Lepisosteus oculatus: one gene and its partners. The protein of the gene in region 4 purifies or fractionates together with the protein of the main gene of each other region. This does not show direct contact. Links are inferred from orthologs where the notes say so. Each region holds a gene or a part of one and is shown on either strand. Other genes may lie near its edges.

What was found.
Region 1: the proteins of NADH dehydrogenase [ubiquinone] 1 alpha subcomplex assembly factor 4-like (region 4) and ndufaf1 purify together in Homo sapiens (co-immunoprecipitation; 3 studies listed by BioGRID and IntAct, with this or other methods). This does not show direct contact. The link is inferred for Lepisosteus oculatus from reciprocal best matches to the Homo sapiens genes NDUFAF4 and NDUFAF1.
Region 2: the proteins of NADH dehydrogenase [ubiquinone] 1 alpha subcomplex assembly factor 4-like (region 4) and timmdc1 purify together in Homo sapiens (affinity purification with mass spectrometry; 3 studies listed by BioGRID and IntAct, with this or other methods). This does not show direct contact. The link is inferred for Lepisosteus oculatus from reciprocal best matches to the Homo sapiens genes NDUFAF4 and TIMMDC1.
Region 3: the proteins of NADH dehydrogenase [ubiquinone] 1 alpha subcomplex assembly factor 4-like (region 4) and ndufs8a purify together in Homo sapiens (co-immunoprecipitation; 3 studies listed by BioGRID and IntAct, with this or other methods). This does not show direct contact. The link is inferred for Lepisosteus oculatus from reciprocal best matches to the Homo sapiens genes NDUFAF4 and NDUFS8.

The regions. Positions count from the first base shown.
Region 1 is NC_090703.1:20,233,966-20,241,809, reverse strand, and holds the start of ndufaf1 (complex I intermediate-associated protein 30, mitochondrial), read left to right. Parts: upstream 1-4,823; 5' UTR 4,824-4,916; intron 4,917-5,246; exon of another isoform or gene 5,247-5,353; intron 5,354-6,163; 5' UTR 6,164-6,248; coding exon 6,249-6,737; intron 6,738-7,196; coding exon 7,197-7,382; intron 7,383-7,747; coding exon 7,748-7,822; intron 7,823-7,844. Other genes in the region: RNA polymerase-associated protein RTF1 homolog, read right to left, coding at 4,619-4,702. UniProt on the Homo sapiens protein: As part of the MCIA complex, involved in the assembly of the mitochondrial complex I.
Region 2 is NC_090710.1:18,098,613-18,106,560, reverse strand, and holds the start of timmdc1 (complex I assembly factor TIMMDC1, mitochondrial), read right to left. Parts: upstream 3,007-7,948; 5' UTR 2,992-3,006; coding exon 2,971-2,991; intron 1,790-2,970; exon of another isoform or gene 1,775-1,789; coding exon of another isoform or gene 1,754-1,774; intron 103-1,753; coding exon 1-102.
Region 3 is NC_090701.1:42,437,918-42,444,849, reverse strand, and holds the start of ndufs8a (NADH:ubiquinone oxidoreductase core subunit S8a), read right to left. Parts: upstream 3,022-6,932; 5' UTR 2,948-3,021; intron 1,461-2,947; 5' UTR 1,459-1,460; coding exon 1,413-1,458; intron 1,181-1,412; coding exon 1,115-1,180; intron 961-1,114; coding exon 871-960; intron 387-870; coding exon 214-386; intron 1-213. Other genes in the region: red-sensitive opsin, read left to right, coding at 6,851-6,927.
Region 4 is NC_090697.1:6,378,073-6,385,440, forward strand, and holds the start of NADH dehydrogenase [ubiquinone] 1 alpha subcomplex assembly factor 4-like, read left to right. Parts: upstream 1-4,351; 5' UTR 4,352-4,414; coding exon 4,415-4,550; intron 4,551-5,754; coding exon 5,755-5,849; intron 5,850-7,227; coding exon 7,228-7,368. Other genes in the region: ndufaf4 (NADH dehydrogenase [ubiquinone] 1 alpha subcomplex assembly factor 4), read left to right, coding at 314-382, 986-1,297. UniProt on the Homo sapiens protein: Involved in the assembly of mitochondrial NADH:ubiquinone oxidoreductase complex (complex I). May be involved in cell proliferation and survival of hormone-dependent tumor cells. May be a regulator of breast tumor cell invasion.

The DNA of each region.
Region 1 (7,844 bases), on a different chromosome or scaffold from region 4:
CAAACGCAGCCCCTGAGCACCGCCTCGGTCTTTATTCCCGTGTTCTGCTTTGTCTCCCGACTGCTTTTCCAGATCACACCCTCGCCATCCTTCGCGATACTCTATCACGACCCCCGGATTCGCCCTTGTGCTTCGCTACAGTGTCTCCTCAGTTCCGAACCTTCGCTTGGTTCGGGTTTTGAACCTGGATCCGCCAGCAACACGCTCAGTTGCCCCGGCCTGCTTCAGCCACACACTCTCTGTGCCCGTGCCCCACTGTGCCCGGTTCCTGTGACACACAGCACTGCCCAGCTGTTCGCTGCCAGCACACTGCTAGAGGCTCTCCTGCGTCACAGCTGCCTCTCGCTCAGCTAGTGGGTCCTTAATGCTCCCACAGCTCGGGAGCGGTCAATACAAATGCACTACGCCTCACTGCTGGCTGAATGAAATAAGAGGTACGAATTTAACTAACAATCCTGTGCTGAGACAAACTGCTGTACACCCCCATCACTCAGCCAGTCTGTAATCTAATAAATTTAACAAAGTCTAGAACAGAGCTACTCAATCTGCAGCCCTTCCAGTCAGCTCCACTGCAGTACTTTGCTTGCGACCAGCTTCTGACCTGCTCTATTGATCTCGCTAATTACCACTTCAATAATTACAAGTTGCAGGTCGCAGCAAAACTGTGTGACGGGGCAGACTGGAAGGGGACAGAAGAGGCGTGGCCCTGCTCTAGTGTTGTTAGGGGTTTGTGAACTCCCTGTCACAGACCTTTCACTGCCAACTACAGAAGTATTTTTGAAACTGTTTTGACATTACTACCCTATACTGCACCACTTTAGGTATAGGATACTACACGATACTCTCAGTATCGCTGTGCTGACAGTCAGGTCAGCTTCACCTCTCATCCATAAAATATACTATATCCTTATGTTCTCCACTTGCCTTATTCAACGCCAATGTTAAGACTACTTAATAACATGTCGGGGGACATCTTTAAAATATTCAAAACCCATATTGACTTTTTCAGGTGTCTGAACACACAGTCTGAAGACACCAGATGCAAAAGAAAACAGGCCATTTGCCCCATCTAGCTTTTCTGGTTGCCAAGAGCTAATCAATCCCAGGATCTCATCTCAGAGCCAGAGTATCGGCTTCAAGAACACGGATGGGCACTCGTTCCAGACCCCTACAACTTTTTGTGTAAAGAAGGGTTCTCCTGCTCGCGATTTTAAATGCACTTCCACATAGTTTCTACTTTTGTCTTCTGGATCATTTTTGTCATATATTGCAAAGAAATCCATCGAAGACGTCTGCTGAGCTGATGATGCTCTTGATGATTTTGATACTAAAATCTAGTCTCCCTGACATCTTTACCATTCAATCGCTCAGTTCCTTCACCCTCCAGACCAAAACGTTGCACTTTTCGGGACCTATTACAAAGCTCCTTTTTTTTTATCATGTGGTGACCAAAAATTGACACCAAATTAGGCCATACTGGTGCATTTTACAATTTTTCACAAAAATCACAATTTAAATTCAACACAATATATAGAATAACTATTTCACTGTTGTGGTTTGTGCCTCAGGTGTCACAGTGCTGAGCACTGTTGCCTCACAGTGCTGAGGCCCTTGGTTGAATTCCAGACCTGGGTGCTATCTGTGTGGAGCTTTCCTTATGTTCACGTTTCCCCTCGTTTCCACTGTCCCAACACATACTGATAGGTTAATTAGCTGCTGTGAGTGTGTGGTTGTGTGTGGCATCCTGACCAGGGTTCATTTTTACTTCCACAAACCTATTGTTTGGAAATACAGTGTAATGACACAGCTTGACTGAACTCTGCTTTACGTACTTTCTGAACATGTCATGACTGCTCACACTAAACTTTCCAGTTCTTCCACTAGCTTAACAGTGGTGCTAGCCCATTCCTTACGTGAGATACGAGCCAAAGCAATTTTTTACAGCATTGTATGTTAAACTACATACGAGCTGTTGAATCAACAGAGCATTCTTCTTGTGTTTGGCATGATTTCAGTCCATTCCAGAGCCACCAGCTCGTCGGGCCACAGCCCATCCTGGGTTCTGCATCAGGACAGCAGTTCACCACCCTCAGCAATGTAGATCCCCCCCCCACAGATACAGCTGTGTGGACTAGGGCAACTTGGGTATAGTACCTCACTCAAGCTACAACAGCAGTGTCTGCAATAGGGACTCGAACCCACAGCCTGACAGTTATGAGGCCAAAGGCTTACCTGCTAGACTCTTCTGCCCAAGATGTCCCTCTGCTGCTTGTGGCTCTGTGATGCATGCTAAGCCAGATGGAAATATATCTGGCAGGAAGTCCCTGTCAGAGCAAACTGGTATCCCCACAGGGGTCAGCTGTAAAGAACGGGGCCATCGCCACCCTGCCTGAGTTCCTGACAATCTTGTGGTAAGTTAAAGATGAACTCCCACTCACTGTTGATAACAATAATAATAGTTAACTACCATCCATAAAGTTTACAGAGGCACCATTCATAAATCCCAGAACAATTGTGTTGAGTTCTATTCAGTTACTATGTGATGCAGAGCAGAGATCTGACTCTGAACTTGTGTCCAGGGTTCGAAGTCCCTGCTGTGCCCATGAGTAAGGAGTGCCTCTCCTGCTGCGGGGGGGTGGGTGTTTTAGATTTTAGATGCTTGTTTCTACTACTGTTTCCAGAATTTATTTTCACCTCCGTACTACCGTAATACTATGGACAAATTCTAAAGCAAATCCTCTTATATATATATACACACACAACTCTACACTAAAAAGAAGCACACAAAAAATCTGCTCTTTTAAGGTAAAACCGGGCACCACAGACATAAGCAAAAACGAATTCCGTTTCAATACAAGGAGAACTGTTGATTTTGAGCAGGTGGTTACATCTACAAGGTACACTACAATACCAAATGTCTTATCTGCATTAACATGAACTACCACCAAATACATGAAGATAGAAGGAAACACTTCTGGGAAGGTAAACTTTTTTTAAAAGAAAAACAGACTGTAGCCTGCCTGAAAGAAATGTTCAGACATGGGTACATTTTAAAGATTAATTTACCAACCAGTTCTTTGCTGTTTGCTGAATATAAGGCAGAGGCTTGCAATCGAAAATTACGTTAATTTAACCACAGATACCCACAGACTTTTTCCAGCTTTATGCGATTAAAAAAGTAACAGCCCCTGAATTCAGCGAGCTTTCTGCTTTCCCATTATAGGCCCATTTTTTTCAAGGTGATGCTCACAACGTTCAGAAGTGGCAAAGGACAGTACGACATAAATCAGAATTCAAAGTAGCGCAGAATGTGTTCCTTGTAACACAGTGCAATGATGACTAACTTACAACGAGTATTAAAAGCAAAGAGGAAAACCAGCGTGCAGTTGTACAGGTTGAACAATTACAAAAAAAAGGCAGTAAACTTTTTCACGATTTACGTTTCACAAAAAAACATGCATCGCTATGCACTAGCGTTCTTGCTTCCCTTAAGAAATTCAGCACCACTGATTTCTCATGCCAAAACACTGGGGAATTAAAAAAAAAACTTCCCGCATCCTCTCACGCCCGGAACATCAAGACTACAGAAGCTCGCAGCAGGCGAAGCGAAAGTTGGAGCAGCAGCGGGCAAGCGCTGTGAACTTGCCTCCTGTACAGTGACCTGCACACCTGGCGCCTACCGCTGCTGCTTGCCCGGGTTCGTGCACTGCTGTCTTAAGGCACTCCGAGCTCGTAATAAATGCATCAAATGTTAGAAACTCGGGTTTATCACATCATTTGATTGGCTGCAGATGAAAAGCCCTCAATGCATGTTGCACTACATCAGAACGCCCAACAAACTGATGCTTAGCATTGCTGCTGTCCCAGCACGCTACAAGGCAGCCTAACACCGAAAAGCAGTTATTCCGAGCCTCCGCTAACTGTTCCAACAGCCCGCCAAATGCTTTATTTGGACCGGTTGTTTTCAGCACAGTAAACACCCAAGTGAAAATCCGCATGCACGGGTTTTTTTTTAACAGAGCAACTAACCAAAACTGCCCGTCTTTGGACCAAGCAAGCCGGCAGCAACCCCATGACCGTCAATCCGAGCTCAGAATCTCGGCTTGAAGGTGCGAAACAATCTTCATTCCTCTACTGCCAACAAATTCCTATTACTGACCTGGTTCCGCTTCCTATACAAGCTACTTTCAGCGCCGTCATAAACACTAATTCCAGCACACGCAAACCTGAGCTTTTTGCAAGCTGAATGTCTCCATATCCATGGCTTTCGGTGTCCATATTTACACTGCGACACTCACGCTTTCTACAGATCAAACCTCTTACTACTGTTTTCGTTAATTTCGTGCGCATCCCGTCCGAAATTAATTCTGCCAATAATAAAAGAGCATTTCACACGGATTCCGGCCGTGATGGCCCATGCTTTTGGTCTTTTATTTTAAAACTAGGTGTCTGCGCTAGGGTAACACCAAGAAGTCTTGGCGACTTCGTGCACACTAGACTCGGTTGCACAGACCCAGCTGAATCCGAGGATGCAAGAGGGCCTGTGGCGCGATGGGTTTCTGTCTCCAGAACTGATCGAACCCAAAAGGCGCAGAGCAGAGGACAAAGAGGTTCTTACTTGATCCAGGTTATCGTCACTAGCGCTGTCTTCGGAGTCGGAGTCAATCACGACCCGTCCTTTCCGCTTCTTCACGTTCACCATGATTGCTGTGAGGCCGGAGCTGCCTGGCGCTGCGTCGGGATAAAGACGAGCCGAGAGGCGCCCCCTCTGCAGCACACAAAGGCGCTGGAGCTCCACTGCGCATGCGGGCGCCTGCGATCTCACGCTTCATTCGCTGGGACCTGTCGTAAGACGTCACCCGTGACGTGTGATACGCGATCGTGATCAGTAGGACAGACTGAGAAGGTCTTTCCAGGTAGGAATGTTATAAAATAATACTTTCTAAAGCAGATGTTAAAGAATATTACTTGTTGATTGACTGACTCATGTGAATTCTTGATACCTCTTTAAATACGTATTTTAGTTAGTACAGTAGATATGTAATAATACGGTGTTACTTTTTAATTTAAATGAAATTGTTTTTATAGAAGTGACACTGTGATACTGGATATGACTGGAGCCTATCGCATGTTGTTACATTTGACCACTTATTAAGGAGTGCAATTATTAGTCAATATATAGATGTAATCTCAGATTCACTAGTAGTAGTTCGTAACAGTAGTTATAGGCTTAGGAACTCAATGTGCTTGCAAAATGTTACCGGGGGACGAGTTGTCGCGACGGACTGTACTTGAAAAACAAGCTGCAAGTATAGTGGAGGCACGTTTATCAAGGTAGCATATTTTTCATAGTGTAAGTATATGGAAAGAGGGCTGTTTATTTTTGGTATCTATATTTTTTCATCTTTACCTGAAGGTTTTAGGTTAATTTACAAGACAATTTGCGTAACGTGCATACAGAACGAAGTTTAAGGGGATCATTTCAGTTAAAAGACGCCAGTTTTATTCAGGAAAGATCACTTAATAATAATTGCTTATACTTATATATCGCTTTTTTGGACACTCCAGAAACTTACTTCACATAGACATAAATTAGACTTTGGACAAATCCTTATTAATTGTAAACGTCGGATTGTGAAGTATACATAGTTCCAGCTCTATTCTCCACACTCTAGTGCAGGTAAACGGGGATGAGCCACATCTTAAAACTTTTTGGACGTGCGCCGATTCATTTCAATTCAAGTCTGCTTTCCGAGGCCAAAAGGTGCATTTGCTGTTACATTGATGTAGTAAAACCTGAAACTAATATGTAGAAATAATGGTAGCAGACATGCACATTATGACATTTGTTCAGACTCTTTTTTTTCATCTTCTCGAATGCAGTACAATAACATAAGTAATAGAATTCCCTATTTTTTTAAAAAAATATATATTTTATCGCCATTTATTTTTCTCTAAAAGTATAGAGAAAGCCAACAGTCGAATTATTCGTGCACTGGAGAACATAGTAAGACTGCACTCATCACTTCTCCTGCTTCCGTGCTGCTACTAGTACGTTAGGCTTCATCATGCTCTCCGGTAGAATCATAAGGCCCTTGCAGTGGTGTGCAGGACATCAGGGATTAGGGATGCCGGAGCATTTTTCATTTTTTCCCCTCTTTAGATCGGTGTTTCAGCACATGTAGAGCTGCAGCCCGTGCTGCAGGGAAGCCGGCTGCAACAGTGTAGACGGACTCGCTTGACGGACGATGGCTCTGTCCACATCGACCCGGCTCGGTGCGTGTCGCCTGGGCTCCAGGCTCACGCCCCCGTGTTGGGGCGTAGTGTCTACGCGAGGGGCTGCACAGAGCTATCGGAGACCAGGCCAGCCTCAGGACAACACGCCGCCTTGGAAGAAGATCCGCTTTAGCTTCCCCAAGGGGGTGGAGGGCGTGAAGAAGCATTTTGGGCTGCTGAAGCAGGAGATGGTGGAGCGCTGGGTGGGGCCGGAGGGGAGGAGCCTCAGGGAGCATATGCTGGAACAGACAAAGTTGTTATGGGAATTCAGGGGTCCAGAGAGCCTGGAACAGTGGGTAGTGTCCTCGGACCAGGAGATCGGAGGGAAGAGTGAAGCATACCTGAAGCTGGGGAGAAACAACCAAACCTGCCTGCTGTATGGCACTCTGTATACAGCGCCTCCCAGAGATGGGGAGACACGGTACAGCGGCTACTGCACTCTGCGCTCCAGACAGCCACTGGTCAGTACACACAAGCAGTCTGGTAGTCAAGGGCAATGTCTGGCCACACTGCCGTTATGGGAATTTACATCAATGTTTTGATTGATTTGGGAGTTGGTAATAGTTATCAGTTAAAATACAAAGGTATTTGTATTATCTCCTCTCTAGACTTCTCAGGGCACTACAGTCCTTGGCATTTAATGCCATTAGCACTGGCCATAGACTCCGTATTATGATCTTAATTACTATCAGTTCCTCTACTTCTTAAGTAGTGTTTTCATGGTATTTACACTATATTCTGAACTGCAAATATGGCAGACTAGGCTATTGGAATATATTAAAAATGAGATTTTAATTATTCAAGAGAGGTAGATAGAGTTCCCCCAAGACAGGCCCAAGTTAATTTCCTAAATGACACGTTGGCAAGAGACAGGATTGCAATGTTTGCCTAGTAATGCTGGTAAAAATATTTCCCTGTAGAATGCCTTTGATCGGAAGAAGCACCACGACTGGTCCAGTTTTAATACTCTGCACCTGCGCATCCGCGGAGACGGGCGGCCGTGGATGATTAACATTGCTACCGAGACCTACTTCTCCCACCAGAGAGATGACATGTACAACTACTTCCTGTTCACACGCGGCGGACCCTTCTGGCAGGATGTCAAGGTAAGACGCACACATCTCAGAGGATTACAATCATTTGGTCTCATTTCCATTTGTTAGTGGAGGAGTTAAATTCTATACCTGGATTTGTTCAGTCAAGCTTTTTAAAAATTAATTCACTCTTTTCATATATACTTCATTAGCTTGTGACTTGCACAAAGCCTTAAGGTAGGGGTCCTTAATCCTGGTGCTCTAGTACTAGTATGTTTCACTCTAGCTGGGCTCTTAACCTAAATCAGACTCATTATTGGTTTAATTGGACCATAACTATAGGTACAGAACTGGGATCAAGACTTTCTTAAGGGAATAAAAATCATTATGTACATTCAGTCCTTTCTACAAGTTTAATGAACTGGTTTCCTTTCCAGATTCCATTTTCAAAGTTTTTTCTCTCGAGCCGGGGAAGAATACAAGACAATCAGCACCCACTGTGGTTAGATAAGGTGAGAATGTCACTGTGTCAGT
Region 2 (7,948 bases), on a different chromosome or scaffold from region 4:
GGAGTAGGAGGAGCCCCGCGGAGGCTTGTCAAGTCGAGGACATGCGGACATGCTCGCTGGGAGCCCTTGGCGATCCATCGCACCGCAGCAGCCCCAGTCTGCCTGTAACACAGTTAGGAGCCACAATGAAAGAGCTTCTTTTTTTATGCCTTTTGGAAACATACAGCTGCAGATAACTCCCACAACACTTCCACTGCCATCTCTCAACCAGCATAGCAAGCTGCACGTTAACTCTAAAATGAATACTTGACATCTCATGCAGATTATAAATACTGCTGCTCAAAAATGTTCCACTGGGCCGCCCAGGCTTTCACCAAGTTCTGTGTTCAAGGCAAGCAGAGCCCCTGGGCCTATGTCAAACTGTTGTCAGCCTACATTTCTGATGTTTTTTTTAAGGCTGAAAATTTCAGGGATGTCATGCAGCTTGAAAATGTAATTAATGTTCAAGCTCGAACCTCCACAGTGGGGAAAGCTCTCAGGTACCTAAATATCTCAATTCCACTTACTCCCATTACATGTATCCTTGGTGATTTATCAAAGGTTAAAGCAGCAATTCAGTATAAAAATACTTTCTTGACTCTGTATTACTGCTAAAAAATAATACTGCGAAAATGGGTGGACAGTAAAGGACCGTCATACAAAGAATGGATTAAAGTGGCTGTATCACAAGTTAAATTTGAAAAGATTTCATATAATTTACAGTACAGGGGAAACTTATTGAGTATAGGAATGTTTGAGGCCCATTAGAGACAAACTTGAATGGCATGGATGTTAAGAATATCAGTAGGAAGTTATTGAATTAATCTTTTCTCTCGTGTTTTAATTCGTTTTAGTGAATGTAAGAATTTGTTTTTGTCTAATCAGAAAAAAAAAGACAGTGAGAAAAAAAGTCCAAAGTTGGGGGGGATGGTGGTGGGTTTAGGGAAAAAAAGCACAAACTGAGCACAACCAGACGGCTGATGGAATAAGACTCGAAGTAAATAGCCTTTTATAATATCACTCCCATTTGAGCTGGAGAACCAAGAAAAAACTTTTTTTTGTTCCATCTTACCAACATGGAATCATTCCTGTTTCACAACAAGGCTAAACGTAGCTTTTGCTTGTACATCTTATATATTTCATTAAAGCTGCTGTTTGAGTTTTTGTCAGTGTAAGCAAAAGATTTATTTAACCTACAGCACGTCTGTGCTCCTCACACTCTCTAACCATAGGATACAGTCCATCCTAATGTGTCACAGATGTTAACAAGCCTTTCTGTCAATGGTCTCCTTGTTGGGTGGCCTAGCTATGCTGATGGCTGGAATAAAAATGCACCCCATGCTGATTTGGCCAAACCTAATTAGAAGTTCTGTTAACATTTCTGATGAGGTTTAAATGATCTAATTATGTAAATAATTATATGGGACCCATTAAGTAGAACGCTGGATTGTTTGAGGGGTGCATCTGAAGGGAAGCACTTAGGAGGATTATCTTCCAGTCAGTTTTATTGAAGTACCACATGGCTCTTTAAAATCCTGAACATAAACTCCTGAAGGAGGGCATCATCACTCACTGCAGCATTTGTGGATTAAGGATGCCTAGTTGATGTTTGTGTATTAAGGATTAAGGTATGTGTATACAAATGTACATATGAAACGTCTAAGGATTTATTAAGAAGCTCGTGTAATAGGACAAATAAAAGATCTCTTAAGAACCGCTTTATATGGGACCCATTAAGGTGAATGAATAATACCTGTAAATGTGACTAACCTACCCCCTTGCAGGACAGGGGCATCCACAGTCATAGTGCACAAATGTGTTCCACTGCAGAAAAATATTTACAAAAGTGAGAAAAACAGGAGAAACGTAGGTAATAGCCAAACTATTAGCACTGCTAACAGGCTTTATGAAAAACTGAGCTGGGGAACAGCACAAAGACAAGGTGTGCTTGCTTAAGGTTGAAGTCACACTTTTGACTAGAACTAAACTATCACTGACTGTGAATCTGTGCGTGCCCGGTTAAGTACCTCCCCCTGATGGATAGCTGAAAACCTATTTAAAACCAGAGGTGGGTTGGGGGTCCGTAACCCAACATGGAACAGTGCAATGGACAGGACAACAACAAACACAACAATACGGACTGATTGTGGATCCACAACAACAGTTAATACATAAACTTAGGAAGCATGTATATGAAAAGACAACAAGAAACAATTCAAAATAACAATAATGTCAATATAAGAATTATGAATAAGGTAATAATGCTTAGGAACAAGTAAAGGTTACATCCACTGTGCAAAGTAGAAAAAAGAAGGCTGGACAGACAACCGGTTTCTACTTTCAACTTCACAGTATTAAATTGACCTTTCCTGGTTCCTTTGCAGCCCAAGCCAGCTGACTCAGCTCCCCGCTCCAGCGTCATGCTAACAATACTGTCCCCGTCTCCCAGTGAGTTCCAGGATGGCATGGACAAGATGCACAGGTGAGTAACCTACACATGAATAAATGTGTGCACAGTACAGTATCCACAGGTGTGAAAGACCTCCTCTCTTGGGAGGTCAGGTGAAGGTATGAGACAGCCCTTCACGACAAATACGTTTCTTAATAAGCTCCTGCAGTAATGTTACCCAGCACAGACGGATAGGAGGATACCCTTAAGCGTCTTTATTTTTCCCGCTGAGAATGGTGTGGGTCTGGTATTTCAATCACCTGCGCATGAGTGCAGTGATTTGCATTTGATTCTTATTAAAAATATCAGGACTAGTTGGACGGGCTGGCTGGTTCACAATCTCTTTACACCGAGAGGCAGGTGTTCACAAACAAAACCATGAGTCACAAACGCCACAAAGCCACCTCACAACTTGAACGGGAACTGACATTGTGCTTTTCATCCCAAAGAGGTTTACTGTACATACAGTATTGACCCACTTCAGGACAGCTCCTGCCTGGGAGACACTCACCTCTCTAAGAGTTAGGCCTTATCCCACTCACCTGGAAGTTGTTCTGTGACATGGTCCGAGGACATTCCAACCCTGTCACTGGCTTATTGTTATTGCTCGTTTAATATTTATACTGTTCTAAAACAACATTCTTCTGAACTAAAACATAAGATCATCGCTTTCTCAGCCTTATTTCTCAGAACCCTTTTCTCTCTCCCAAACTTAAAATCTGTGTTTTCACTACAGATGAAACTCTGTAGCGCAATATAACTAATGTGTGTAACTCTAATTTGTTATGAAAGACTACAAACAAATATTGAAATACACCAAATATTTTAGAAATTGGACTTCTGGTGTTGTAAAGCAAAATACTTCTGGAATGTTTTTAAACTTTAATTCTTACCCTTCCGGGATTTAAAAATAAGTAAAACAAATGTATTTCTTCCAGAAAGTTTATCATTTGTAATGTATTTATCAGCAGCTGAGACAGAAACCGGTTAATAATGTACTTGTATATTACTGAAATGCACCTGTGCATCATTAATTTTTGTTACTATCATTTTTCCCCACCAGCAAATGTAACATGTATTCAAGTTCATTTTGTTACCTTATCAATATGCAGTAAAGCAATCAAAAAACAAAACTGTAAAATATTAACATACAACACTGCAATACCTTATCTGAGAAATATCGTGCTTCAAAGTTGAGAAAATTTCCCATCATCTAAAAGTTTGTTTTGCGTTAGTCTGTTTATATTTCTAACACAACTGTATGAGACACCTTCAATTTGCATCACCTGTACACCACAGATAGGCTAAAATTCAAGCAATGGCTGTAATCAAATTTCAATTCAATATACTGCAGAATGTAAGACGTATTTCTGTATTCAATCAAATTAATAATATAGACGCAAACACACTTGGAAGTCAAGGTCAGGCCACTTAAAATTCAAGGTTATACTAGTAATACATTTTACAATTATGACAAAAATGCTACTATAGCTCAATGTACAGGTTGCATAAATTTTCATTTTCACCATAGAAATAGTATTTATGAACGTATAAAATTAATAATACTGATATTAGCTGTTCCACTAGCATACATTTCAGAAAGGAATTTAAGAACAGGCGATGCTACCGGTGCAAGAGCTTAATTATCTTTAAAATAATCGGAAGCAAATACAATGGACTTTAGAAAGCTAAAGCATGTGTGTGAAAAGAGCGACCTACTTATCTGTGTACCTGAAATAACATTTATACAGCGACAAAAATATTATACACCACTTAAGTCGCATCACATCTACGGCTCATATTCGCTGATATTAAGAAAATTGATTTTAAACTTTAATCAGATACACTTTAACGAATGTATTCAGACATAACGTTCTCAAGCACATTTATACCTTATCCAGAACAGCTTCTCGGGGAAACCCACAATGTCAAAGCTTGTTGTCAGAATTAAAGAGAAAGTTTCCGCGATATGAAGCAGAAAATAATTAGATCGCCACCTATTGTTGGAGGACGAAACTACAGGGATATAAAATGAGCTTAAGACGCGAGAGCGAGTGACCTAGTTTGAGGTAAATCGATGAAAATCGTGGAAAGTCAAAATAACGCCTTGAAAAGAGAATGAGGATAAAACAGACATGAAATAAAAGTTTGTCATTCATTTTGTGCTGCTGAATGGATAAAAGTATGTTAATACATGCATGACTATAAACACAAAATTCAAGTTTCTGACAGGTGGCACCGAACTGGAAGAAGAAATCCCGAGCAAGATCGTTTAGGTTAACTTTTTTTTTTTTTCAGCTAGGCACTTTGGAGAAACGATAAAATGGCCAACAAAACTTTGATATAGGAAGAATGTATTATTTGAATCGATGGGGTGTCAGGTTAAATTATACAATGCATTAGACTTCACTTGGAGTACAGTGTATACTCCGGTCACCACTCATCAAGACATTGCTGTTCTAGAGCAGTAAAAAAGAGAGCAACCAAACTAACTTTTTACTGAAGGCAGTCTCATGCGCAGACAAATTAAGGGAGTCAGACTTTTTGCCTGGAACAGAAAAGATTATGCTGTATTCCAAATCCCAAAAGGCAGTAGCTACAGTAGGTCAGCTCAGAGTTACTATATGCCCCAGGGGTCCTTTCTTTAAACAAAAGGATCATGGGAGCCTGGAACTAACTTAGCCAGTATATTATCTTTATGGGATCCTTCCAGACAGTGATAAATGGAATTCTATATTGATTGCTGAGCTGATCTATGTGTGCCAGTGTCAGGAACTGATGTTGTACCATGTGCAGCAATACACAAATTTATACCCAGAGGCATTAAAATGCAATAAATGAGCATTAGCACCAGTAGCATTCGTTGCTCTTGTAATGCGTTTATTCATACGATAATGCCAAGACTGACACCTGCAGAATGAGAAGGAGGAGATGCAGGGAGTTTAGTACAGTATGTAAGGTTGGAAGATCGCTTCGCCCACCTCATGTCTACAGGATAACAGGGCTGTAAAAATTGCTAACAGGTAGGCAGTCCTGTGATCAGGATGACGTGTGATGCTGGACTATGGCAGCAATGGTGATTAAACACCTTTCAGATGAGCCTGTCAAATTAAACCTCATCTCCCAGGTCTAGGATACTCATCCTCACAGTGCAACATACATCTCTTCAGACACTCGCTCAGCAGGCGAGCTGGTGCCGGATGATTTCGGATGCTAATATTAACCAGAGCCTGGTTAGAAATCTGGGCCCTGATTTCTCAAAACCAGCACCTTGCAGCACCTTGCTGCTTTTGCAAAGCTGTGCTATAATTCATTTTCAAAGCAATTAAAGTCATGTATGACACATTAACACATTTCTGCTGCATGATACACAGGTTAGGCTCAGGCCACACCACATAACGAATTGAAGAATTTATGTGCAAAAGAAATGAGAGAACCATGAGGGAACTGTGATCATTGTGCTTTGAGGTATATTTTGAGACTGTAAATTTATAATATCTAGAAAGGTGACTTAGAAGGAATGAGACCAAATTTATGAGAAGTAAAATGTAATGGGATAGATATGAAATCAGTAAAGAATGATAAATAAATTTGAAGCACTGCAAATTTAGCTCCAACTGAGTATATGATGCAGTGTACTTAGATTTCCAGAAGTTTTTTTTTTTAAGTTCCTCATTAAAAATTAACTCTTAAATTGCAAGTGCTCAGTTGATGCAATGACACTTGGAGACACACTAGTGTTTGGATTGAAAATTCGTTATTAAATAAAAAAACAGAGGATATACATTAGTGTGAAAACACAACATGGGGTGACGTAATGGAGTACCACAGGAATCTGTACTAGGACCACTACGCTTCTTAATTTATATCAATGATCAATTATTTGTAGATGATACCACTTAAGGAGGTTTGGCAAACACTGTAAAACCTGCAAATTAAATTCCAAAAGGTTTAAATAAAATGTAAAGATTGGGAACACAACTGGAAAATAATGCTTAATGAAGACAAGTGTGGGATTTTACATCCAGTAAAGAAAAATAAGTTTTTAATACAAAATTGGAAACACTGCGAAAGAAGAGGTAACCTATGAAAAAGTTGCATACAGGTGTCTTCTGAGACATTATTTACATCTTCTACACAATGTGAGAAAGGAATTAAAATGGCAAACAGTCTGCTAGAATACATAACATTAAATGACAGAATATACTGACAAAGATAACCTTGCATATTTATTCAGAATGGACAGTGAAAGGGACCTGCCAACTGCATGGAGTTTGTATGTTTTCCCCATGTTTGCCTGGATTTCCCCTGGGTACTCTGGTTTCCTCCTACAGTCCTACAACAAACTGGTAGGTTAATTGTCTTTGTAGGAAAATTGGCCCTAGGTATGAGTGTGCGTTTGTGTCTGTGTGTCTGCTCTATGATAGACAAACGTCCCATCCAAGGGGTACCCTGCCTTGGGCCAGTTGGTTGCCGGGATAGATGGCTAGATGGAAAACACATAAAAACTAAAATATTTAAAAAATTACTCCCTAGAAAACTGGAAACCCCATAGAAACAGATGGGAAATATATGCACTTAAAGTACTTAAAACATAAATATGAAAATACTCATAAAACATGAATACTGAGATGTATCATTTTATTAATCAACCTAAGTATCTTACTGTATGTAACAATATCTTGTCTCTTAGCTATGTCACCAGACTAAAACACCACTTTAATCTTCAGTTAAATAAAAATAATAATTAAAAAAAAATATTAAAAAATAATCAATGTAATCTTCTTTCAACTAGTGGTTAATGTTCTTAATTTCTTTTACAACATTTAATGCAAAGAGAAAAGAGTAAACGTCTGTCTGGCAGAAGAACTGGTTTAATAATACCAGCACAAGAGGGGTTAAGTCAGGGCTGTTGTACTGTATTTATCTCTGGTAGTCTGTTTGATTACAACATGGTTTTACACAATCTTGGTAAAGTTTATCATAACAAATCTCCAGGAATCACAATTTCCACACTAGTGGTTCTGTTATACCCTTCTCAGATTTGGAATGTACTAACTTTTGCCAGTGTTCTCAGGGCCTGAAATTGTTCTCGTAGTATGTGGTTCTGGCTGAGCTGCTCTGCATTTGATCAAAAACTCTTCACAGGAGCTTATGGGAGACGCCCTACCCTCATATAGAGCAATCGGCTCAGACCAAAAACAAAATGTAAAAATGGAATAAAAGAAACTTTGAGATTAAAGTGACATTCACGGCTAAATTTGCAATCCCACCTAGCGGGGACAGGAGCAGAACATATTTTTGTATAGCTGGCTAACCAGCATATAAGATCAGTGACTTTGAATTCAATTATGAGCAGGAGAAAGAGTTTGGTGGTCTCAGTTGGGCTTCATGTACTCACGTAAAGAATTAACACATTCTTGATTGAATGACGGCAGGCATTAAAAACACATTTAAAAAACAAATACTGCTATGAAATCATCAGGACCCTTGGAAGCTCATAGTACACTGCACATGCTT
Region 3 (6,932 bases), on a different chromosome or scaffold from region 4:
AGTACATTAACGCTGCACTGAGAGAGAGGGGTTAATACAGTACAGACACACTGACTGGACACTACAGGACATTAACACTGCACTGAGAGAGAGGGGTTAATACAGTCCAGACACACTGACTGGACACTACAGGACATTAACACTGCACTGAGAGAGAGGGGTTAATACAGTACAAGATTAACACATTGATTGACTACACACTATGAACAGTACCTGGGCTGGACAGATGGCCTCACATAGTTTGCAGGCAATGCAGCGTTCCTCTCCTGAGGGGTACCGGCGCAAGGCGTGCTCACCACGGAACCTTGGGCTGAGTGGACCCTTCTCAAATGGGTAATTTATAGTGGCTGGCTCCCGGAACAAGTAACTGAGAGTCATTGCTAACCCTAAGACAGAAACAGAGGTTAATACAGCACAGACACACTGACTGGACACTCCAGTACATTAACACTGCACTGAGAGAGAGGGGTTAATACAGTCCAGACACCCTGACTGGACACAACAGGACATTAACACTGCACTGAGAGAGAGGGGTTAATACAGTCCAGACACACTGACTGGACACTCCAGTACATTAACACTGCTCTGAGAGAGAGGGGTTAATACAGTCCAGACACACTGATTGGACACTACAGGACATTAACACTGCACTGAGAGAGAGGGGTTAATACAGTCCAGACACACTGATTGGACACTACAGGACATTAACACTGCACTGAGAGAGAGGGGTTAATACAGTCCAGACACACTGACTGGACACTACAGGACATTAACACTGCACTGAGAGAGAGGGGTTAATACAGTCCAGACACACTGACTGGACACTCCAGGACATTAACACTGCACTGAGAGGGAAAGTGGGGCTCTCACCTCTAAAGAGCTCTGTCCACAACAAGGTCTGAGCAGCTTTGTCTGTGATTGACTTCATGTCTGTGGGCAGCTCCTGAGCGTTGACATACTCTAGAGAGACAAATGTGCAAGCACTCACATTCCGATCTCAAGAGTGACAGAGGGACATGGATATCGACAAGCTTATATACTGTACACACAGCCAATGAAGTACAGGTACAGAGCTCAGGAAATAAGACTTAGAAGACTTAGGAAGGGTACTCACTGTATCCCTCTCTGTGAACAGACAGGCTGAAGGGACGCACCAGCATGGGACAGACAGACACCCTGCCTAAATAAGGGAAAAACAATAACAGTAAACTTACAAGAAAATAATAACAGACAAACCTACCAATCAAGTGCATACACCTGTCCACTTGTGACCTGTCCACCTGTGAGTTTACCTGTCCGTCTCTCTATCGGTGGACCTGTCCACCTGTGAGTTTACCTGTCTGTCGGACCTGTCTCGTTATCGATCACTGCCTCTCCGTCAGTCTGTTGAGAGGAGTGTGAGTCAGTCTTACCTGCCCGAGAGGCTGAGTACAGCACACGCAGAGCTGCAGACATCATGTCTAGAACAGAAACAGGAGACCCCATCAACAACTCAGCCTCTCTGTACTATACCGGCCCACATTCACACACACACAGCCTCTCTGTACTATACCGGCCCACATTCACACACACACAGCCTCTCTGTACTATACCGGCACACACTCACACACAGCCTCTCTGTACTATACCGGCACACACTCACACTCAGCCTCTCTGTACTATACCGACACACATTCACACACACACAGCCTCTCTGTACTATACCGGCACACACTCACACACACAGCCTCTCTGTACTATACCGACACACATTCACACACACACAGCCTCTCTGTACTATACCGACACACACTCACACACAGTCTCTCTGTACTATACCGGCACACACTCACACACAGCCTCTCTGTACTATACCGACACACATTCACACACACACAGCCTCTCTGTACTATACCGACACACACTCACACACAGCCTCTCTGTACTATACCGACACACACTCACACACAGTCTCTCTGTACTATACCGGCCCACATTCACACACACACAGCCTCTCTGTACTATACCGACACACACTCACACACAGCCTCTCTGTACTATACCGGCACACACTCACACACACACTCACACACAGCCTCTCTGTACTATACCGGCACACACTCACACACAGCCTCTCTGTACTATACCGGCACACACACACAGCCTCTCTGTACTATACCGGCACACACTCACACACACAGCCTCTCTGTACTATACCGGCACACAATCACACACACAGCCTCTCTGTACTATACCGGCACACAATCACACACAGCCTCTCTGTACTATACCGGCACACACTCACACTCAGCCTCTCTGTACTATACCGGCACACAATCACACACAGCCTCTCTGTACTATACCGGCACACACTCACACACAGCCTCTCTGTACTATACCGGCACACACTCACACACACAGCCTCTCTGTACTATACCGGCACACACTCACACACAGCCTCTCTGTACTATACCGGCACACAATCACACACACAGTCTCTCTGTACTATACCGGCACACAATCACACACACAGTCTCTCTGTACTATACCGGCACACACTCACACACACAGCCTCTCTGTACTATACCGGCACACAATCACACACACAGTCTCTCTGTACTATACCGGCACACACTCACACACGGTTGCCTTGCTGATCATAATTCATATTTCGGATAGAGATATCAGTAGAAAACCCGATAGAATGAACTTTCAGAAAACTAAAAGCTGAAAGCAGTGACAGGCAGAACATTGACATTGCTGCAGAGCACTCAAGGACTGTTCAATGACTCACAGCGCATCTGCCGGTTATGTCACTAAAAACACCGAGCTGCGGTATTTTCCAAAGCCGTTTCCTGAGCTCTTCGACATGCATAAGTCGCATAATTTTTTTGTCAGGGAGATTCAAACGGTCAGATTTGAGTGTTAAAAGGTATAAAATTGCAAAAGCGTCAACAAAGTCACCAACCTGTCGCTATTTGGCCTCCTCAACCAGAACAGCGGACATTACCGGAAGTTCTCGCCAGAACGGAAGAAGTAATTGGACAGGGCGATGGCGGCCGTCAGCGGTGTCCGCCATTTTGGGTGTGTCAAAATGCCGACGTAAGGTAGAATACATTTTCTTTGGAGAATCATTCCCACTGTATTAGCTTAAGTAGTTCGAAAAAGGACTAAAGTGAGTGTGGTGAATGCCTGCTGTTGAAAAGAAACCTAAGACTCAATCTTGAGTCAAAACAACTTTTTGTTACAGAATTGTTATAGAAAGGCACATTTATTTTGTTGCACTTTTTGTCTTCATAACATCATGAAACAGGTTAAAAATTAGAGGAGGCCATTATTCCTATCCATTGAGCCATTTTTTCTATTTAATTTAGGTTATTGGCTTCAACAATGTAATTGGACAGTTTGTTCCACACTCCCTCAACCCTTAGTGTAAAGAACCAGTTGTTTCTTGAAAGAAGTCAGGGTATCGGTTTCAACAACATGGCTCGGCCACTTGTTTCACACCCCCACCACCCCCTGTGTAAAGAGGAGACTGTGTGTTTTAGGGTCCCATCATAGTCTTCTCTATTCAATACTGAAGATAATCAATTCCTTCAGACTGTCAGAGTAGAACATTCCTTCAATCCACAGAACGTCACTACTCGTCTCTGTGCTGATCCCCAGAAGCAGTGCCTCTCCTACACCGTGGTGAACACAATTGCCACAGGAACCTTGGACCTGGGTTCTGTTGCTCACCATCACAGTAATTATTACCCCTGCGCTTTCCAGGGACGAAAGGTGACTGCAGGCAATAGCAGACACTGACTGCTGTTTGTTAGCAACTAAGCTAATGAAATGAACATTTTGCTGATTATGAAATCCCAAAGCATTCACCTCGTACATTTCTTTATTAGTACCTCAGAGATCAGTTCCCCCTCTATCTCAGTCTCTGTATTAACCCCTCTCTCTCAGTGCAGTGTTAATGTACTGTAGTGTCCAGTCAGTGTGTCTGTACTGTACTAACCCCTCTCCCTCAGTGCAGTGTTAATGTCCTGTAGTGTCCAGTCAGTGTGTCTGGACTGTATTAACCCCTCTCTCTCAGTGCAGTGTTAATGTCCTGTAGTGTCCAGTCAGCGTGTCTGGACTGTATTAACCCCTCTCTCTCAGTGCAGTGTTAATGTACTGGAGTGTCCAGTCAGTGTGTCTGTACTGTATTAACCCCTCTCTTTCAGTGCAGTGTTAATGTCCTGTAGTGTCCAGTCAGTGTGTCTGGACTGTATTAACCCCTCTCTCTCAGTGCAGTGTTAATGTCCTGTAGTGTCCAGTCAGTGTCTGTACTGTTTTAACACACACAGTGAAATACTGGAATTCTGATTGGGGCAGATAGTGAGGAGATGGTCTTTGTGAATCCAGAATTCTGTGTAACTCAGTGTAATTAACACTTGATTATTACCTGAGAATGACGCATGAGTGACGTTTCCTGGCACGTCAGCCCCTGTGGTTAAATCTCGGCTAACGAAGCAGGAGTGTTTTAATTAAAGTGTGCAGAGGCGTTCTGAGGGCTGCTATGCTGGAGTGAATTGTGACAGGAAGATCCTGGATGCAGAATCTGTAAGATATTATTTCTGTTGTTATATCCAGTGTTGGGAGAACTGTGAGCAGCCTTGTAGTAATATCATCACTAAAAGTGGTACATGCTGCTGAAGCAGGAGTAATTTACTCAGCTGAGTATCAGCAATAGTAATAATACTAGTTTTTATTTATAAAGCTCCTTTCCAAACCCAAGGGCACTGTACATAGTGATAAAGAAAAAGACAAAAAACAGTCAAATGAAAAAAATAAAGAAGAACATACAGTTTCATACAGACAGGTTTTAAGGCAATCAGACAGGCCCTAGGTGAGATGGGGTTTGAGTCTGGATTTGAAGAGTCAGAGCAGAGAATTTGTCTGCGCTGTAGAACTGCATTCTACTGTATTCCACTGGAGCAGCGACAGAAAAGGCAGGGTCAGAAGTCCAAGATTTAATCTCGGGAGCAGTGATCAAGGATCAGACCAAACTGGACAGAGCCTATGGCAGGGAGTGCAAACATGGAGAAATTCGGAGATGTATGATACAGCCAGATCATTCAGAGCTGCATAAGTCAGTAACAGGATCTTCTGTTGAATACGTGACTTTATAGGCAACCAATGTAGAGACGTGAGTGTAGTAGTGAAATGCTGCCAGGGTCTGGTTTGAGCTGGTAGTCTAGCTGCAGTTTTGGTCATGTTGCAGTTTGTTGAGAAGAGTGTTAGGAGTAAAGAATTGGAGTTGATATTATAGATGCATGAATCGGGCAGTCAGCATCAGACACTGATAGAAATCGCCTAATGCGGGCCATATTTCTAATGTGAAAGGAAGATGTCTTTATTAGATTTTTCACATGAGGCTCAAAGGTCAGGAGAGGATCAAGTGAGACTCCCAGATTCTGGACTAGGGCTGTTGCCTGCGTGGAGAAGCCTTCTGCCATTACTGTGAAGCTCTCCGGCTTTTCCAGCTGACATTCGCTGCCCACCAGTAAAATTGGTTTTGTCACTATTTTGCTTCAGGGAATTTGAACGTCCACCAGAGTTTGATGTTACAGGGAGGAGAGTTAAGTGACGGAGAGAGTGGATCAGAGGGGGGAGAAGTATTCATGTCAATCTGAGCATCACACGCTTAACAGCGAAACTGAAGACTACGTTTGTGTATCAGCTGACCGAGAGGAAGCTTATCAATCTATTATCTACTAACAGTCAGAAGGGCTTCATGGCTTGAGGAGGGTTTACTCTTGTTTGTGGCCTTACCTATGTTCACAACAAAACTCCTCTGTGATTCGTTTCTTGTTGGTGTTGTTGTGTAGTTTTGGTAAAGCCTTTGTATGGAATACTGTATAGAGCTGTGGTCAGGATGCTGAGACAAGGGCATCTGTGTCTGAAAGAAATGTCATATCAGCTCAGCTTTCAGGTACTGAGTAAAACTAGTCTTTACAGACCCAGGACACTGTCAGTAAGAGTAGGGGTGTTGACCCCAGAGTCCTGAGTGCTGCTCATTACAGACCCAGGACACTGTCAGTGAGAGTAGGGGTGTTGACCCCAGTGTCCTGACTGCTGGTCATTACAGACCCAGGACACTGTCAGTGAGAGTAGGGGTGTTGACCCCAGTGTCCTGACTGCTGGTCATTACAGACCCAGGACACTGTCAGTGAGAGTAGGGGTGTTGACCCCAGTGTCCTGACTGCTGGTCATTACAGACCCAGGACACTGTCAGTGAGAGTAGGGGTGTTGACCCCAGTGTCCTGACTGCTGGTCATTACAGACCCAGGACACTGTCAGTGAGAGTAGGGGTGTTGACCCCAGTGTCCTGACTGCTGGTCATTACAGACCCAGGACACTGTCAGTGAGAGTAGGGGTGTTGACCCCAGTGTCCTGACTGCTGGTCATTACAGACCCAGGACACTGTCAGTGAGAGTAGGGGTGTTGACCCCAGAGTCCTGAGTGCTGATCATTACAGACCCAGGACACTGTCAGTGAGAGTAGGGGTGTTGACCCCAGTGTCCCGACTGCTGGTCGTTACAGACCCAGGACACTGTCAGTGAGAGTAGGGGTGTTGACCCCAGTGTCCTGACTGCTGGTCATTACAGACCCAGGACACTGTCAGTGAGAGTAGGGGTGTTGACCCCAGTGTCCTGACTGCTGGCCATGATAGATGTGTAGGTGCCACTGAACTTGAATTGGGCTCTGTTTCAGGTCTGTTTCTGTGTGTCAGCCCATGTGTCTCTCTCTGAGAGGACGTCTATTCATCTCTGCGTCTGTTTGACATTCAGTCTCTCCCTCCATCATGCCTCATGATTTCCTGTCCTCTCGCTGCCAGGTGAGGGGGATGTCCTGCCCTACTGTTGTCAATCAATCAGCCAATGTGTCAGGCTCAGCAGGGTTCGGAGTTCAAAGGTCAG
Region 4 (7,368 bases):
TTTCAATTTATACAATATGGTTGCTCAAAGTTCTCATAATCTATAGTATGGTTTCAGTACAAAAATGAGGGGGGAATTGATATCAGAAAATAAATCGTCAAAAATAGAGTCTCGGAGGTTTATTTCTGGATATAATAAGTTCGCTGCCTGGTTTTACTCGCATTTAACTCATCCGTGGACACAAGAGTGACCTCTTCCATGCACGGGTATTCAATGTTGGTTTTGTTTGTTCCTTGTCACTTTCCGTAGAAAGTTCGGCTGTCTGACCATAATGTTTCACGGAGTGCGATAAAATTGTATTACGAAGTGAAATATGGGGTCGCTTGTTTTATGTGCGTTCAGAAATTTTAAACTGGAAAACTGTGCTCACAAACCTTCAGCGGCGCCTTGACCAAAGGCATTATACAGCAAATAAAAGAAATTCGAAAAACATCAGTGAGCAATTTGGCATTGACGAGGTTGTGTAACGTGTAGTGCATTAAATGGGTTACACAGACACAAGCGATGTTTTTTCATAGACAATTGTGATATTTTATCTCATGTACTATGCTTAAATAATGTTTCTTGTCGTACATACAGTCTTTTGATAGCCACTGTATGTATCACATGCTGCATAAATAGTTAATTCATGTTTGCCTTCTACCACCTTGAGGTTAAGAATACTTAATATTATTCTACTGGGTACAGGAACACTGATCTCTGACTGACTAATCTGCATTTTTGGAGAAGGCATACAGTAATATGTGTGGGACATGCAGCAGAGACGTGTTTTTCTGCTTATTTTTCCTCATTATATTCTTGTGGCCATAACCTTGCTCATGAGATGATTCTCTTGTTCATGTTTGTGTATGTTGTTTTCTGTGTTTTCTATATTGTCTGCTGCTGTAAACAATTGCCCATTCGGAATACTAAAGACATTTATTCCCTCGCACTTATTTTCCTCTTTCTTACATGTTGTAAACTTCTGGTGTTTCAATTCTTGCAGAACCCGATGAAGACAAAAATTCCAAGTAAAAATGAAGAGGAGTGCAGGCCTTGCAAATCCCGTGTAGTGGGAAACCCCTATGGCATTTTGGACATTAAAGACATCCCAAAAGGAAAACTGTCCATTGTGGAGGCCTTGACCGTCCTCAACAACTACAAACACTCTCCTAAATCTTGGACACCTAATAAAATAGCCCAAGAGTACTCTTTAGACTTAAAGGATACCAAGGCACTTCTGGAATTCTTCATTCTCTTTGATGTTAAAATTATACCACCAAAGACTGAAGACAAGAAGCAGATAAAAGCTAACTAACAGTCTTCATCACTGATCTGTTTTAGAAATATTAATGTAATCATCCTGGACATTTGTACAACATTGCTCAGGCTACAAGATGCAGTTCCTTGATTGGTTTTAAACGAGATTAGATAAAAATGATTAAGGAATAAAAACAATGTTGTAAAGATTCATTTTATATTTCATTTTATATCTGCCATTCTTGTATTGTAAAAGTGCTTGTATTTTTTGTGGTTGAATTAAACTTCATTATGTGTTGCTTTGTATAAGAAGTAATCCATATTTTAATATTGAATTAGTAAATAGCCACGAGCAACATATATACACAGGCTCTCGTCTTTTATTGGTTCATCTTTAGTCTCTTCTCGTCGATCCCAGATCAATTGAAACTGAATCTTTTATTCCCAAAGGCTTGTAAATGGAATTATTTAAACAGGTAGGCAAACAAACTTAATACATCAGAAGTCAGAAAAAAATATAAAATGCATCTTTTGCTATATTGAAATTAAATCTTATAAACTAGCACTGCTAGTTACACAAACCATTTTGAACATTTATTTTCTGAAGTGGTCTCTGCAGGTTTGGTGCTGTATGAAAAAAGCATGCTACGAAAGCTGCTACCTTATAGAAAGTTGCTATTATGTTATTGTTTTATATTAATTTCTGCAGTAGTTAAACATTTGCATTTTACAATGCCAAGATGATATGACCACAGGGTAAACTGGGAAAATATAGTACAGAAATTGTAAACAAACTGTCCTTGTAAATCAGATTTTTGTCCTATAGGCCTCTGATATTTGATATTTCTGTCAATTAGCAAGTAATCTTTTCTTTTCATAATACTGCTTGAAGAATGGTGTTGACTGTGACTTAACATATTCATCACAGGAGCATTGTCATCTAATTTTGAGGTGTGGCTCAATAATAATTCACATTCTTTCTCGTTATTTGCTGCCGCCTTCTGGTAACGCCTATTAACACCACTTGAAAGTTAGTGCTGAATACAGTGACCGTAGTGATAAACTCTACCAAAAAAGTGTTTGAACTCACGGGGACAGTGGGTCTGTAAAAATATATTTTTTTATTTAATTAAAAAAAACATTTTTTTATTTAGTCAACAGCTGCACTATTTCCTTTTATTGATCTACACCAAACAGCGAATTATTTCATTTCTGTTTTATATGGTTATTGGTTTGCTAAGCCAATTTGTGAGATCTGTGTTCACTAGCCTAAAAATCGAATTTAAACAATCTTAAAAGACAGACACATCCCCTAAACTAATAAAATACATTAACTGGCTTCCAGGAAAATTCTCCCGGTGTGAGTGTGTGTGCCCTGTGATGGACTGTCGCGTCCGTCCGGGATATATCCCTCTGTGCGCCCTTTGGAAAGGCTCTGGCTGCCCTTGCCCTGCTACCCTGAATTGGAAGAAGCTGGGAGCGAAAATAATTCTATATCTTTTTCTTATGGCCCAATATTTTATTTTTTCAAGATCCCCCCCCCCTCAAGTTACATATATTTGAAGTAAAAAAAAATATTTCACTTGAAATCGTTCCTCATTATTTTCAGTGCATCCATCTATCCATTTTCTAACCGTTTCATCCAAATACAGGGTCGCAGACACAGACATGCAACACACTCACGCCGGAGTATATGAGTATGTCTTTGGACTGTGGGAGGAAACCCACGTCGTGATCATGGGGACAGGGTGCAAACGCCATGCAGCATCTCAGCAATTTAACCCAGGGCCCCACCGTAGCGAGACAGCAATGCTAATGTACTGCACAGAGGAAACGCCCTACACAGTCATTTACAATTAAAATATATGTGCAAACGAATAGTTGCCGTTTACAATTGACAAACCTGCGGTGTCCCGAATCCTATCAATCGGTGATATTCTGAAATATTGTTTACCTTACAGATTATAATGTTGCATTTTATCGTTACTTATTAGCAGCTTAACAAACATCTGTTAGGTATAGTATTTCAATTTATACAATATGGTTGCTCAGAGTTCTCATAGTCTATAGTGTGGTTTCAGTGGAATTACAAGAATGGTAATAATAATAAACCTTATTTTATATAGCGCCTTTAAAGGTGGCTTATCAAAGCGCTTTACAGAATGACAACGACAATAAATTAAAAGAATACACAAGATAAAACACAATTACAATATACAGAGGAGACCGTGGATGGGGTAGTAGGAAAAGCAGAGGGGTGAAGAATGGAACCAGTTAAGTAAATGCTCTTCTAAAGAAGAAGGTTTTGAGTCTGGATTTGAAGGAGTTCAGAGAAGGTGACTCTCTGGTATCCTTGCGCAGAGAGTTCCAGAGCTTGTTGGCATAACAGGAGAAGGCCCTGTCGCCCATACAATGTAGACGGGCTTGGGGGACAGTAAGGAGGGCAGAATTTGAAGAGCGAAGGTTCTGATGTGGGGAGTAGGGCTATAATAGTTTAGACAGGTACTGAGGTGCCAAGCCATGCAGAGCCTTATAGGCGAGCATGAGGATTTTAAGGTCCACACGGAATTTGACAGGAAGCCAGTGCAAGGACCCCGGGATAGGAGTAATGTGATCACTTGCACTATACCTCGTCAGGATTCTGGCTGCCAAATATTAGACAAACTGGAGTTTGTTCAATGTGGAGTTAGATACCCCAGAAAGTCGAGCATTACAGCAGTCAATTCGAGAGAACACAAATGTGTTGATCAGCTTTTCACCCACAGTTAGTGACAGCACAGGGCGTAGTCTAGCGATATTTCTGAGGTGAAAAAAAGATGTTTTGACAATATGCTGCACATGTGGGTCGAATGTTAAGCCAGAATCGAATATCACCTCAAGGTTTTTCAATTTAGACAGAAGCTCAAGTACAGACCCATCTACGAATGAGGAGGCTATTGATATAAAAGAATAAATCGTGAAATACAGAGTCTCGGATGTTTATTTCTGGATATATTAAATTCGCTGCCTGATCTTACTCGCATTGAACTCATCCGCTGTGACACAAGAGTGACGTCTTTTATGCACTGGTTTTCAAGGTTGGTTGTGTTTGTTCCTTGTCCCTTTCCGTAGAAAGTTCGGCTGTCTGACCATAACGTTTCACGGAGTGCGATAAAATTGTATTATGAAGTGAAATATGGGGTCGCGTGTTTCACGTGCGTTCAGAAATTTTAATCTGGAAAACCGGGCTCACAAGGAGATAAGCAAATCCAAACCTTCAGCGGCGCCTCATCACCCTTTGACTAAAGGCATCATACAGCAAATTAAAGAAAGTAAGTCGAAAAACACCAGTGAGCAATTTGTCATTGACGAGGTTGTGTAACGTGTAGTGCATTGAATGAGTTACACAGACACACGCGATGCTTTTTCATAGATAATTGTGATATTTTATCTTATGTACTCTACTTAAATCATGTTCCTTGTTTAACATTTAACCTATTTAATGTAACGATATTTATTCTTGAAATATCAACATCATGTCAGTGACATTGAAGTCTTAGTAAATTTATTGAATATGCCAAGAATTACCAGTAAATTCGATGACCATTTCCCTTACTAGAGTATCGATTTAGATTTGTTAAGCTTTTTGCGACATCGTTAAACTGAAACAAGAAGAATTTTAAGTCAAGGGGTTTTATGTAAACTGAGCTGTGACCTTGTACTTAAGAATGCAGTATAAATGTGTGATTAATATTTAAATTTTAAAGTATTTTGAAAGGAAAATATTTTAACATTAACTAGGTCCACTTCCTGCAGTTGTACTTAACTAAACGAAATTTTAAACGAGGTATTCATCTCATACATGGTATAATTGTACATGGGGCTGCACTTGATGTACTGTTTTTTAATTGTTTTTATATTGGTTGGTCAATTCTGTAATTACCTGAACATTTGGGATGTTTTCCATGGGGGTAACCTAAAGAATATACTTAAGGGAAGTTCTGTCTTCACATTTCTGTAAAAAGAAGCAAAATGAGTTAAGGCTCTTTTTTCTTGTACCTGTTCTAACAAGGGCAGTATATTTTGTGCAGTGGTTAAAACTGCTGCCTCGCAACACAGGGGCCCTGGGTTCAATTCTGGATCTGGGGTGCTGTCTGTGTAGAGTTTGCATGTTCCCCCCCGTGGGTTTCCCAAGGATTTCCTTCCACAGTCCCAAAACATATTGGTTGGTTAATTGGCATCTGGGAAAGTTGGCCCTGGTGTGTGGGTGTGACCAGGATATGTCAGATTTTGAAAGCGTAAAGGAAAAAGCATATTTCCAAAACCCTCATCTATGTCTAAGGCTTCTGTTTCGCAAAGCTGTAGCAAAGCATAGCAGATGGTAAGTGCAGCACTTCACTTTATAGTTTGGTAAATCTATTGTGTTACAGGTGTGAAATAATGTCGACTCTAGAGAATAAACGTCAGCTTTAAAGACAAGAGAATTCTAGAAAATAAAACCTACTTAATTGTTTTCTTTCTCACTTGTTGATATAGATCCTGAGGCTACTGAATCCATCAATAAGAAGAATGAGCATCTTTTGTCATTACTAAAGACAGTATATGTGGAGTCAAAAGACCCTCCCCAACAGGTAAGAACAGTTTTGCTGGAATGCTTATCCCAATGTGAAACAAAGCCCTGTTCACTTTTCCCAGACAAAATATAGCCAGGAGCTCACAGTCTCCCTTGATTAATTAACTCTTGATTCCCATTTTCCCCCAATTTATTCAACCCATATGAATAATGTATTATTAATAATAAATAATTGCTTACACTTTTATAGCACTTTTCTGAACACCGCACTCAAAGCACTTTAAAGTTAATTGGGATCCCGTCCACCACCACCAGTGTGCAGCCCCACCTGGACAGCAGCCATAGTTCACCAGTACACTCCCCATGCACCAGCTCTCAGTGGGGAGGAGAACAGAGTGATGAAGCCAATTTATAGATGGGGATTATTAGGAGGTTATGATTGGTCAGGGGCAATGGTAAATTTGGCCAGGACACCGGGGTTACACCCCTACTCGATTCGAGAAACACCCTGGGATTTTTAATGACCACCGAGAGTCAGGACCTCAGTTTTATGTCTCATCCGAAAGGACGGCTTCTTTTTACAGTATAGTGTCCCCATCACTATACTGGGGCATTAGGACCCACACAGACTGTAGGGAGAGCACCCCCTACAGGCACCACTAACACCTCTTACAGCAGCAGCCTTAGTTTGCCTCCCATCCAGGTGCTGACCAGGCTCACACTTGCTGAGCTTCAATGGGCTGACAGCTGTGAGTTGCAGGGTGATATAGTTGCTGGAATAATAGTATTGTCACTTTCAAAAGTATTCTCCCCCTTGATTTTTTAGATTTTGTTGCAATAAGAAATCAATGGGATTTTTTGCCATTTATTGACACAAAACATTATAATTTCAAAGTGAAAACAAAATTCTACAGCTCTGCCTATATTAATTTAAAAAATAAAACAGAAAATAACTGATTCCAGCAGTATTCACCCCCCTTGAAATCAAATAATATTTGTTAGAGGCACATTTGGCAGAAATTACAGCTGCGAGTCCTTATTTGATAGCCAGTGTACAGTATGTATCACTTCAATTGTTTATTAATGTTTGCCTTCAGCCACTTTGAGGTTAAGAATACGAAATATTATTGTACTGGGTAGAGGATCACTGATTTCTGAGTAACTAATCTGCATATATCATAATATATGTGGTACATGCAGAAGAGGTCTGAGTGATATTCTGCTTATTTTTCCTTATTATTATCTTGTGGCCATAACCTTGCTTATGAGATGATTCTCTAGTTCATGTTTATGTGTGGTGTTTGTTTTCTGTGTTTTCTATATTGTCTATATTTTCGATATAGAAAAAATGCCCATTGGGATTACTAAAGACATTCATTCCCTCTTTTTCTCCTCTTTCTTACATGTTGTAAATTCTTGTGTTTCAATTCTTGCAGAACCCGATGAAGACAAAAATTCCAAGTAAAAATGAAGAGGAGTGCAGGCCTTGCAAATCCCGTGTAGTGGGAAACCCCTATGGCATTTTGGACATTAAAGACATCCCAAAAGGAAAACTGTCCATTGTGGAGGCCTTGACC